Linked DNA regions of Arabidopsis thaliana. The protein of the gene in region 2 interacts with the protein of the main gene of each other region in a pairwise test. Each region holds a gene or a part of one and is shown on either strand. Other genes may lie near its edges.

Region 1 (7,023 bases), about 25 Mb from region 2:
AGACTAATTTAAACAGTCTAAAAAATTAGACGATTCATTGAACCGCTTAGAAAAAGTGGTTGGAATTCATTATTATTTTTAAATTTTAATGTGTCTATACTTTCATGAATTTTGTTTTTTATATCTATAAAACAATTTATGATATGTCACTAGCTTACTATACATATTTTTTTAGTCATTAACATCATTTCTCATTGCTTTAGGCTATATTGTATTCTCTACAATATAAATTGAAATAAGGAAAAAAAAAACTTACAATGACTAAATTTTAGTCACCAATGGAACTAATTATTTTGTAAGAAGGTTGAAAACTACTTTTTTTTTTTTCTAGAAGAGTCGGCGAACAGTGATGGTTAAATGAATTATGGGAGCCATGTTTGGCCTTCGTCTGCTGTCAGCCAAGCCCCTGCGAAACCCCACCCCTGGCCTGTGCAAAAGTTTACGCGCGCATTCTGAGAACGTGCTTTCCACGCTCCGATTAAGACGTCACTAAGAGTCAAAGCACTTTGATTTTCTCTTCTTTTCTCACAAAACACTTTCTTTTTTTATATACAGTATGATTTTTTTTTTTGTCGTCATTTTTTTTTATTTATTTATTTAATATGCCTCTTATGGTAAAACATATTTCAAGAAGGTTTATGTTTCTATAAACTAAAAGTTATCAACGGCAGATGAATAAATATGGAACTAATTTTCTCTCTAAATATCCAAAAATATGAGAATGTTGTCCATGGTTTTGGGAACAGAATGAGTGACGGAAAAGCCATGAAAAGAAAAGGTATCTTAGGAATATCATCTTCCTTTTGCTCGCCTAACCTTTTTTTATTGTTCTTCTCTTTTTGAATTTAAAATATTTTTCTGCTCTCTAGTAAACATTTAAACCATCGTAATAAATTGAGAATAAAGTGTGTGTATGTTTGTGTGTGTGAATGTTCGGTGTGATTTCAATTTATTGGAGGATAGAACTGTTGTGTCGAAATTGACACACCAAGGTGCCAAGTTGAGTACAAAATAAAGATCCTCTAGAGGCTACATCTTCGTCTAACAATCCTCATAAGTCTTCTTCTTCTTCTTTTTTTTTTAGTTTTCAACACACTAATGTCAAGTGTTTTGTTCATTTCTTTTTAGTTATAATATGTCTCTTGAGAAAATGTTGATATTTAGTTTGTTGTTGAGCCATTTATTTTCTGAGACAAATTTGGTCGTTAATGGATAATATTCTTAGAGATAGATCTACAGTACTGTGACTTTTGTGTAAAAACAAATTTGTAGCCGTATTTAATGGGCTATTTCGTATTTGGACAATAGCCTTTTATTTTGTGGGCCATGATATGTCAACACTGCTCAATGCTTATAAATGTTGTCGACATTTAACGAACGATATAACACCAAAAACTTCGAGTTTGTAAAGAAAAATTATGAGAGGATTACATTATGGTTAGCATATCTGACTATAATAAATTGAAAAATTACATTACTGGTTGATGGAAAGACAAATTTTTATTGAAGTGTACTTATTTCTTTAATTTTATTGGAATATAATATTCGATATGTGTTATTATGGTTAGCGTCTGCATATATTAATTTACGATTACATTATTGGTTAATGGAAATACAAAATTTTATTGAACCTTAATTATTTCTATAATTCTGTTATAAAAATATTTAAAACAGAGGTCAATATTTTTAAGAGAATGTTCAACAATCTGGTTAAGTAAGGGGAAAGAAAAAGCTTAGCTGGCTTTGAACCGGCTCGGCATTCCTCTGTCACCCACCAAACCAAACCGAGTCATCCTTCGTCGTCTCTCTTTCTTTTTCTTCAACTTCCATTTTTCGAAAGGCGACGAGAAAAAGTATTTCTCCAGTTTTGGAATTCGCCATGGCTGTTGATAGCAGAATGGATCTGCTAAGCGAAAGAGCTGTGTTGATGAGAGCATCTCTTCAAAAGAGTCAAACCATCACCGATAATGTTGTTTCTATCCTCGGCTCCTTCGATAGTCGTCTGTCTGCTCTTGAAACCGCCATGCGTCCTACTCAGGTGTGGTTTAGAGTGCTCCGATCATCTTCTCTGATTGTTTTCTAATCCAGATCTGGTATTATAGCTCTATGGAGTTTTGCTGACTTGATCGGATTTTGGTTTGACTGTGTTTTGAAATCTCAGATTAGGACTCATGCTATAAGGAAAGCTCATGAGAATATTGATAGGACTCTTAAGGCTGCTGAAGTTATTTTGTCTCAATTCGATCTCCTCCGTCAGGTTTGTTTTACAAATCTTGCTTCTGATTTTACTAACATGGATCGGTATAAATAGATAGAATTGATAATGATCTACATTGAGAATAGATAGTCTTTGATTATGCTCTCAATTCAATTCTAGGCAGAGACTAAAGTACTCAAGGGGCCACATGAGGACCTGGAAAGTTATCTGGATGCAATTGCTCAACTCAGAAAGATTATTCGTTATTTTATGAGCAACAAAAGCTTTAAGAGTAGTGATGGAGTTCTCAACCACGCAAATAGTTTGCTTGCTAAAGCACAGTCAAAGCTGGAGGAAGAGTTTAAGCAGTTGCTAGCTTCTTACAGGTTTGTGCTTCTGCGCCTGATAAGAGTTTAAGAAGCTACATGATTTCAAACTTGATGCTCTTGCTATAACTATGACTCATACCTTGTAACTTCAGGGAACAAAGCTATTGTGGATTTTTAGCTACTTTTTCTAGTTAGTATTTTTTTGGGAACTGGTCTTCGCTCTATGATGGTCTTACTTCTTTAGTTATCTTTCAAATAACCTAGAATACTTAGAATGACCTTTTATCTAAATTATCGGAGTTGTCACCTGACAAAGATTTTTTTTTGTGAAATCAAACACTTGTCAATATACAAGTTTCCTATGATACGAGTGTTCCAGACAACTGGTTTTAGATGGAAGAATGCTAAGGCCAACTCTTTTTTTTTGTTATAATCAGTAAAGCGGTGGAGCCTGATCGCCTATTTGATGGCCTTCCCAACTCACTGAGACCATCCTCAGACGGGGATGGAGGTGGAAAACCCCACGGAGGACATCACAATGATGACGCGGAAACTGCTGCTTATACACTTCCAATCCTCATTCCGTCACGGGTGTTGCCACTTTTGCATGACTTGGCACAGCAAATGGTTCAGGCTGGTCACCAACAACAGTTGCTACAAATTTATAGGTGAACTATTGATTCTTGGTCATTCATCCTGTATGTCGTACAGTTCATTTTCAAATCAGGCTCTTAGCTTAAATTTTCAACTAATAATTGTAGCATGAGTCAAAGTACTGAGTCAAGGTATAGTTTCTTTGAACGATTGCGGGTATACAATTAACTTACATATAATTCTCACCAGTCACCGCTCATTTACAAAGTAGTTTTTCCATGGTTTCTGCAAGTTGTGAGTTTATATTTGACTATCCTTCTGCTGTTTCACTAGTAAAGCTAAAGAGAAATGTTTTTGAAATATGAATTTCTATTGACACTCATCAAATAGTTTGGCTGTGATGTGCACATCGTGTACTCCGCTGTTTGTGCTTACCTGATCTGAAAACATTATTGCTAGATGCAATTCTGTTTGTCTCATATGTGTAATGCATTGGAGAAGCTTTGTCTTTTTTCTTCTATATGAACTACTAGTATTGTCAGATATAAGCAGCGAATTGCATAATCTACTGGCATTTTCCCAATGCATATTTAAGATGCATTTGTGTTTTTGAATTTGTTATTAATCTCCTTCTGTTCAACCTGTTGTGTTTTGTTCAGGGACACACGTTCCTTTGTCTTGGAAGAAAGCTTAAAGAAATTGGGAGTTGAAAAACTTAGCAAAGAGGATGTCCAGAGGATGCAGTGGGAAGTTTTGGAGGCCAAAATTGGAAATTGGATCCATTTCATGCGCATTGCTGTAAGAACTCTAGTTAAGGATGGAAATAACTTTAACATGTTTTGTTCACTTTTAACTCAAGATATTTTGTTCAACAGGTTAAATTACTCTTTGCTGGAGAAAGACAAGTATGTGACCAGATATTCCGAGGCTTCGATTCTCTAAGTGATCAGTGTTTTGCAGAAGTTACAGTGAGCAGTGTCTCAATGCTACTTAGCTTTGGGGATGCTATAGCCAGGAGCAAGAGATCTCCAGAAAAGTTGTTTGTACTCTTAGACATGTATGAGATAATGCGGGAGCTTCATACAGAGGTAATAATCTTCTCATTAATATCATTAAGTCGCCATACATTTACTGAAGAGTCTTCTGTTAAATGGAAAAATTATTCTTTAGTTTCAGCTTTTGGTGGATTTTTTCTGATCTTTAAGAATGTCAGTTTTCAGTATCATGAACTTTGGTACATACTTGATTCACCTTCAAACCTGTATTCATTTGTATAAGCTAGTGAGGTGAAATGTTATAGAATATAGGATGCTGCAAACGTCTAGTTTTATTGACACTGACACACATAACGATTTACCATATTAAGACGTAAAACTTCAGTTTGCATACGCATAGAGTTCACCACTTACTTCTTAGAGATGTCAAACCTAGCTGCTTTGTTTACTTGAGGAGTAATATATGGAAAGTGATTGTCTTTAATGTTTTTCTTCCCATGTGGAGTTTCTATCAATCAGATATGTTTTTGACCAACTGAAATCCCCACCATAATAAACAGCATGGCACACAGAGAAAAAACTTTGTGATACATATGTAGTGGAAGTTTGCTATCTAGGACGACATAAAGTGTGAATTTTCTTATGACCAGTTTATGGTATAAGATTAGATGGTACAATCTCATGAAATTTGTGTCCATGGACAGATTGAGACAATTTTCAAAGGGAAAGCATGCCTCGAAATTAGAGATTCTGCGACGGGCTTGACAAAGCGGTTGGCGCAAACTGCTCAGGAAACATTTGGTGATTTTGAAGAAGCTGTTGAGAAAGATGCTACAAAGACTGCTGTTCTAGATGGAACTGTCCACCCACTAACAAGCTATGTCATCAATTATGTCAAGTTTTTATTCGAGTAAGTACATCATATATACTCAACTTATTTCCTCGAACTATTTGCGTATTGTTCTTCTCCATACTGCTATTTGCGTATTGTCCCTTTCCACGCTTTAATTGATGATCATTGGTGTCAGCTACCAAACAACATTGAAGCAACTTTTCTTGGAATTTGGAAATGGAGATGACTCAAATTCGCAGCTAGCATCCGTAACGATGCGGATAATGCAGGCGCTTCAAAACAACTTGGACGGAAAATCGAAACAGTACAAAGATCCTGCATTGACACACTTGTTCCTGATGAACAACATTCATTACATGGTCAGATCTGTGCGCAGGTATATTATTTTTCTCGTTTAAACTTTAAAGGCTGATCTGGTTTTATTAAAAAAATAAAAGAACGCACTCATTTAGCTTTATTCATATGATAATTTTTCAGGTCAGAAGCCAAGGATTTGTTAGGCGATGATTGGGTTCAAAGACATAGGCGTATCGTGCAGCAACATGCAAACCAATACAAAAGAGTTGCCTGGACAAAGGTTCTGTCTATTTGTCTAACTCTGTAAAGAAACACTATTATATAAAATTTCATTAAATTGTTACTAAGAAACTGTTACATATTTTGTAGATACTACAAAGCTCATCGGCGCAAGGTTTGACCTCATCTGGGGGAGGAAGTTTAGAGGGAGGAAACAGCAGTGGAGTTTCAAGAGGATTATTAAAAGAGAGGTAAGTCCTAAACATGTAAAATAAACACAGTAATTGGCAAATGTTTATATATTTGGTAATGATGATAAATCTGTAAAAAAAAAATGGAACAGGTTCAAGATGTTCAATATGCAGTTTGATGAGTTGCATCAGAGACAATCGCAATGGACAGTTCCAGACACAGAGTTAAGAGAGTCACTAAGACTTGCTGTTGCTGAAGTATTATTGCCTGCTTATAGATCATTCCTCAAACGCTTTGGGTAAAAATCTCCTTTCTCTCTTTACTGCGAAGGCTTTTCTAATATTTGATTGAAATGTAAAAAAACCTAAATGAGATTTTAACCTATGATCGATGCAGGCCTTTGGTTGAGAGTGGGAAGAATCCTCAGAAATACATAAAGTATACAGCTGAAGATCTTGAAAGATTGTTGGGTGAGTTGTTTGAAGGAAAGTCTATGAATGAACCACGCCGGTAAAAAAACAACTAAAAGATGATGAAAACTAATTGTGTAAGGTAAATTTCTATCAAACTCTTCTTTTTTTTGGCTTACCTTACATAACTAGGTTCGTTGCTATTGTATATGCAGTGTCAACTTTTCGTTTTTTGTATTCTACTATTCTTTGGTTGGAATGAGAATGTGTAAATTACTTGGAGACAGAGTTGTTTCCTTTTGTATACGTTAAACGTTTTGAAATAACCATGGCCTAATAAGTCTAATCTCAACTCACAAGGATATGAAATCTTTTTTCTTAGAATGAAATTAATCGGAAATCAAAATCCTAGGCGTAATTTATAAAAAAAAATATGCAGTGAAGGAGCTAAGTTATAAGTTGATATGATTGACAATTGCTTTGAGACGAGCTTTGGTACTAAAGATCGAGCCAATAATATTTGTCCGAACAGCTGAACTAAGCTTGGGGACAAGATTGTCATGCGGATCAATTCTGTTATTTTCTTAATGGATTTTAGGTGATTAATCAGTTGTTATTGAACAGAACAAGACAGATAGAGCTCTACCGACTTGCATACTTAAATGAAAGAAATATGATTTATTAGTAAAATAAAGAGTGATGAGATGGTTTTGTTGTTTTAAAACACACATGTTTGGTAATTGGCATATTCCTTTTAGAAGATCCAAATTCTCCCAACATCTTTACATGGACTTCCCCATTTCCATCATCTCCTTCCACTTTTTTCCCAAAATAATATAAAAAAATGATAATTTGAATCGATGTAATGAGTGTATTCAACCTCTTGTATAATTTGTCTCCATGACCAAAGACAAAGAGAGAAGCCATAAAAACCCTA
Region 2 (4,332 bases):
GAAAGAAATACCTTTGCTTGTGATTGACGAAACACAAGATTTTCAGATGATGTCGCCGGACGGACGGAGGACATGGGAACAGAACCAAACACATATCATGATTTGGTTCTCTACTCGCTAGTCGCTTTCACTGTCCATGTCTTCTAGATATCCTCTTTTCCGCTTTCGCATCCTTCGTCGTCTTGTTCTCCTTCGCCGTCCTCGTCAGAATCCACCGCCGAGATCGTTGATCGAGTGAAATTATGGGAGACTTTGAGACATGAAATCGATCTGGATTGACTTAAGATGTATTCACAACAGAGGATGGAGATAATTCACGAAAAGATATGCTTTCTCTGCTCCGATCAATCTTACGGATGAAGTCAATCTTACGGTTTACTTCATAGTTCTAGAAGAGAACTAGAGAAAGAAAAAGATGAATTTTGTTATTTCTGGATTAGGGTTTCGAAGAACAAGAGAGAATGGGTGTATTTATAAGTAACGTTTGTTTGATGAAAAAAGGAAATTTCGATTGTTTCCTTTTCTTATTTGAGTTGCAAAAACTAAAAGGAAATCTATCACAACGGTAACAAAAGATTCACTTAACCGTCTTACTTTTTATAAAATCATAATTATATACAACACCAATAAATAAACAACTACTGTTTGATATTGCATATATCCATTATAAATTCCACCACCATAACTTCGTATGGATTAAGGCTTTTTTTTTCCTGCCAATTGGTTGTAATCCATATCTCTACAACTTCGAGAGGATGATTTTATTAAACGTAACTTCATTGTTATATATGCAAACATGATATTTGAATACTTTTCGAGTAAACACCATTCATTTTTTTTTCATTAATCTAAAAACGCATTATCGTAATGTATCACAAATCTGCCCTACATTACACAATAATGAAAATTATCAGTGTCTAAATACACCAAACAAAAATTACAAAAAATATATATTACTACACTTGACATTTAGCAAACATAGTTAGATACACAGTAAACAACAACAGACAAATTTTAATTGTGATGCAGCCGAAGAAACACATGTGGAAAACAAGGTGGCACTACCATTTCTCATTTCTGTCTTCAAATATCACCCCTTGTTGTTATTATCATAAATAAAAGTAAACACCTTTAAGCTTTAACGCAACAGTTGAAGCAGCTGAAGATTCTTCTCCTCCTCTGTTCCAAAGTCATTTACAAACAAGATTAAGTATGTTTTATCCAAAAAAAAGAACAACATTATTTATGTCACTTCACATGGTAGGTACAAAATAAAGGATTATGCTTTACTCAGATTGAAAGAAAGAATCCATTATAATAACTTTGTAGGGTAATGTACTACTATAAGTTTACTCTGTTTTAAAATATAGTTTTACATATTCTTTTCAATATTTTATCATCAATATAAAACATACTCTATGCATTCATGTGATTCCTTAACCATATGATCACAATCATATCCAATCAAGATCCAAATCCAACTTAAACTCAAAATCTGAAGTTGTGAAGTTTGGTGGGGTATATAAAATTAATTTCATGTGTAGTCATAAACAGCAATAAGCAACCAACTTGACCAAACATTGAAGGACCACATTTTACCCAATTGCTAGAAGAATCCATATAATGCTTACAATATTAGATTCTCAAACCTAACCAACCCAAGAAGGTCCACATCAAATGAACAATTCACAAACATTATCATCCTATTCATCAAGAAAATATGAATCTTACAATGGATATTCAAAGTGTTAACATGTAAATGCAATCAAAAACATAAGTTTCAAAAGTTTGGTATTGGTATGAGCATGAACAACGAACTAGGGTAAACAATGTGTGACCCAAACAAAATCTACCCATTTTGCCAGAAATAAACCATATAAGGCTAAAAAGTTGGATTTCATATCCTAACCAAGTCAAAACACCTACCTACCGGTTTCAATGAACGCAGGAGCTAATACAAATTCATATACAATGGACTGACATTCAAAACAATGAATCTTTAAGATAGAGCAACAAGAATCTTACAGAAGGAGAGTGTGGGTGATGGTGAGAGAACTCATTGCGGTTGTTGTTGTCACTGTGAACCGTAGTTAGCTTCTTAGGCTTGGCAGTATCAACAGGAGGCTGATCATGAAAAGGGTTAATGAGTTCTTCCTCGTTGCCAAGACTGGCTCGAGAAGCATCTCTCTTGTTGAGTTTCCTCATCTCTCTGATCTTTGAGAAATCCATTGAGTAATCAATTGATCCTCCTTTTTGATCCCAATCTCCAAACTGTGGTACTGATAGCCATGGCGAGTTCTTGTTCTGCCAAATAAATCTCCATTTCAATTACTTTTATTTTCAAGAACCATTAGAAAGAAAAAAACACAATCCTAAAAATCAATCACACAAAAAAAGACTTTTTCACCAAGATTCAGAGACTAATTTCTCACATCAAAATCGAATATTAATGCAAGAAGTTGACATGAACATCCCATTTTATTTAATGTATCACTTTAACTTTAATATTATGTAAGGAGAAAACACAGAAGACGAAGGGATTAGACCAGAAAATAAAAAATAAAAACCTCTTTTCGATCTTCCATGTGATCAAAGCTTCTGTAGCTAGCAGTGAATCCTGTTTTTTTTTTTTATAATAAGTTAAAGATGATCTTAGGAGGAAGATGGGTGATACAGAGCAATTTATAAGCGAAAGAAAAAGTATACCAAAATTTAATACAGCAAAGTAACAGGTCGATTGGTGGTGATACAACTATACTGTACACAACATATCAAAAATATTTTTGTTTTATTTTGTTTTTTTCTGCTTCGGGAAAAGGTTAGCTTTTGTGCATTAATTACGATACTGCCATTCGTTCGGACACGCACACACGCTTAATCCGCGTCAGCTTTGCTCTCATTTCCTGTTAAATGACGTCGTTTAGTATACTGTCGATTAATGGTCTAACCTTTAAGTTATGATATTAAAACATAAGTTTATTGGTGAAGATTTGAAGGCCGGCAACTGATTTTATTAAATTTATAGTGATATGTTTTTCCAATAGCTTAAGCAAAATTTGTTTGGAGTTGATTAGTTCATTTTCATTTATCTTTTTTGTTCCTAGAGCGGTTAGTGAACACTGAATGAATACACACACTGACTCCACTAAGAACCCAAAAAAAAAAACTCACATCATTTTGTGTATTTTGTTAGATAAAATCAAACCTAGCCGACGTTAGTGAATCTGTATCCACTTAAATATCATCTACAGCAACAAAAAAGTCCACAATAAGATATAAATAAGTACGACTTTGCTTCGTCAACTGTATGACTGCTATTAACAATCCCGAACTATTTAGTCATGGAGGCGATTAACATAAATTCATGTTTAATGATGCGAGCCGTTACATGATATATATACATGTTGATTCTTAATTTTCATTTCCAATTTCACTATTTCAGTCATATTTGAGAAAAAAGATGTGTGCTCGTACGTTTTAAGTTCCATGAACAGCCAATTTAAAATTAACGGGTGAATAAGTTGACGCATATTCATTTAAAATTGTAATTACGAATTCAACTTACTAAAACCATATACATAACGACCAAAAACTTAATAAAACTATAAATTTAAAAAGAAATCAAGTTGCGTGACGATGTGGCGTGAAGAGATCCACAGAGAAACTGACGTGGTTGATGATATAGTTAGACACGTGGCAGAGTATGAGAAGTGTCTGTTTTTCAAAGGAGCTATGTGAACCACAAAAGAGGTAACTTCACCGGATTTGTTATCTCTTCAAGACTTCTACCCTCTCTTCTCCTTCTTCCTCACCACAAAATTAGATTCTTTCGTTTGTTTTTTGTGTGTGTTATATTTGTCTTTATTTCATATCCATTTATTGACTTTGTAAGAACATTGCATTGCATGTGGCAGAGAACTCAAAGTTAGTAAAAATGAATACTCCGATTTGTATCACTTCTTTCCTTTGGCATTATATCAAAATATGGTCTTCAAAAACTAGAATTATACAATCGTAGAATGCATTTACTTGTCATTCATAGAAAGTTGCAATACAACTACCATTAGTACTTACAAACATTGCAACCAAATACATTTTTTATTGTAAAATAGTACTCCATACATATTTCATGCTCCATACATATTTCGATTTTTCACTATTTTCATTCCAATTTTTTGTGATAACTGAAGATAATTTTATTGGGTTTTTCTTTTTTGGTCGTCAATAATATTAATTTATTTTCTAAGTATTGATTTTATTTATTGATAATTGATAATGATATATTTTCGAATATAGAGAAAAAAATACAAACTAATAAAAAAATCAAATAAA

The links.
Region 1: the proteins of AT5G64850 (region 2) and EXO70A1 interact in a two-hybrid assay, tested with the Arabidopsis thaliana proteins (one large-scale study listed by BioGRID).

Annotation. Positions count from the first base shown.
Region 1 is NC_003076.8:887,727-894,749, forward strand, and holds EXO70A1 (exocyst subunit exo70 family protein A1), read left to right. Parts: upstream 1-1,839; 5' UTR 1,840-1,879; coding exon 1,880-2,038; intron 2,039-2,161; coding exon 2,162-2,257; exon of another isoform or gene 2,258-2,377; coding exon 2,378-2,583; intron 2,584-2,790; coding exon 2,791-2,868; intron 2,869-2,963; coding exon 2,964-3,194; intron 3,195-3,779; coding exon 3,780-3,918; intron 3,919-3,995; coding exon 3,996-4,208; intron 4,209-4,819; coding exon 4,820-5,025; intron 5,026-5,143; coding exon 5,144-5,344; intron 5,345-5,445; coding exon 5,446-5,545; intron 5,546-5,634; coding exon 5,635-5,735; intron 5,736-5,827; coding exon 5,828-5,974; intron 5,975-6,072; coding exon 6,073-6,190; 3' UTR 6,191-6,441; downstream 6,442-7,023. UniProt on the Arabidopsis thaliana protein: Component of the exocyst complex involved in the docking of exocytic vesicles with fusion sites on the plasma membrane during regulated or polarized secretion. Involved in polarized cell growth and organ morphogenesis.
Region 2 is NC_003076.8:25,919,838-25,924,169, reverse strand, and holds AT5G64850 (sorbin/SH3 domain protein), read right to left. Parts: upstream 2,769-4,332; 5' UTR 2,586-2,768; coding exon 2,568-2,585; intron 2,305-2,567; coding exon 2,026-2,304; intron 1,180-2,025; coding exon 1,132-1,179; 3' UTR 752-1,131; downstream 1-751.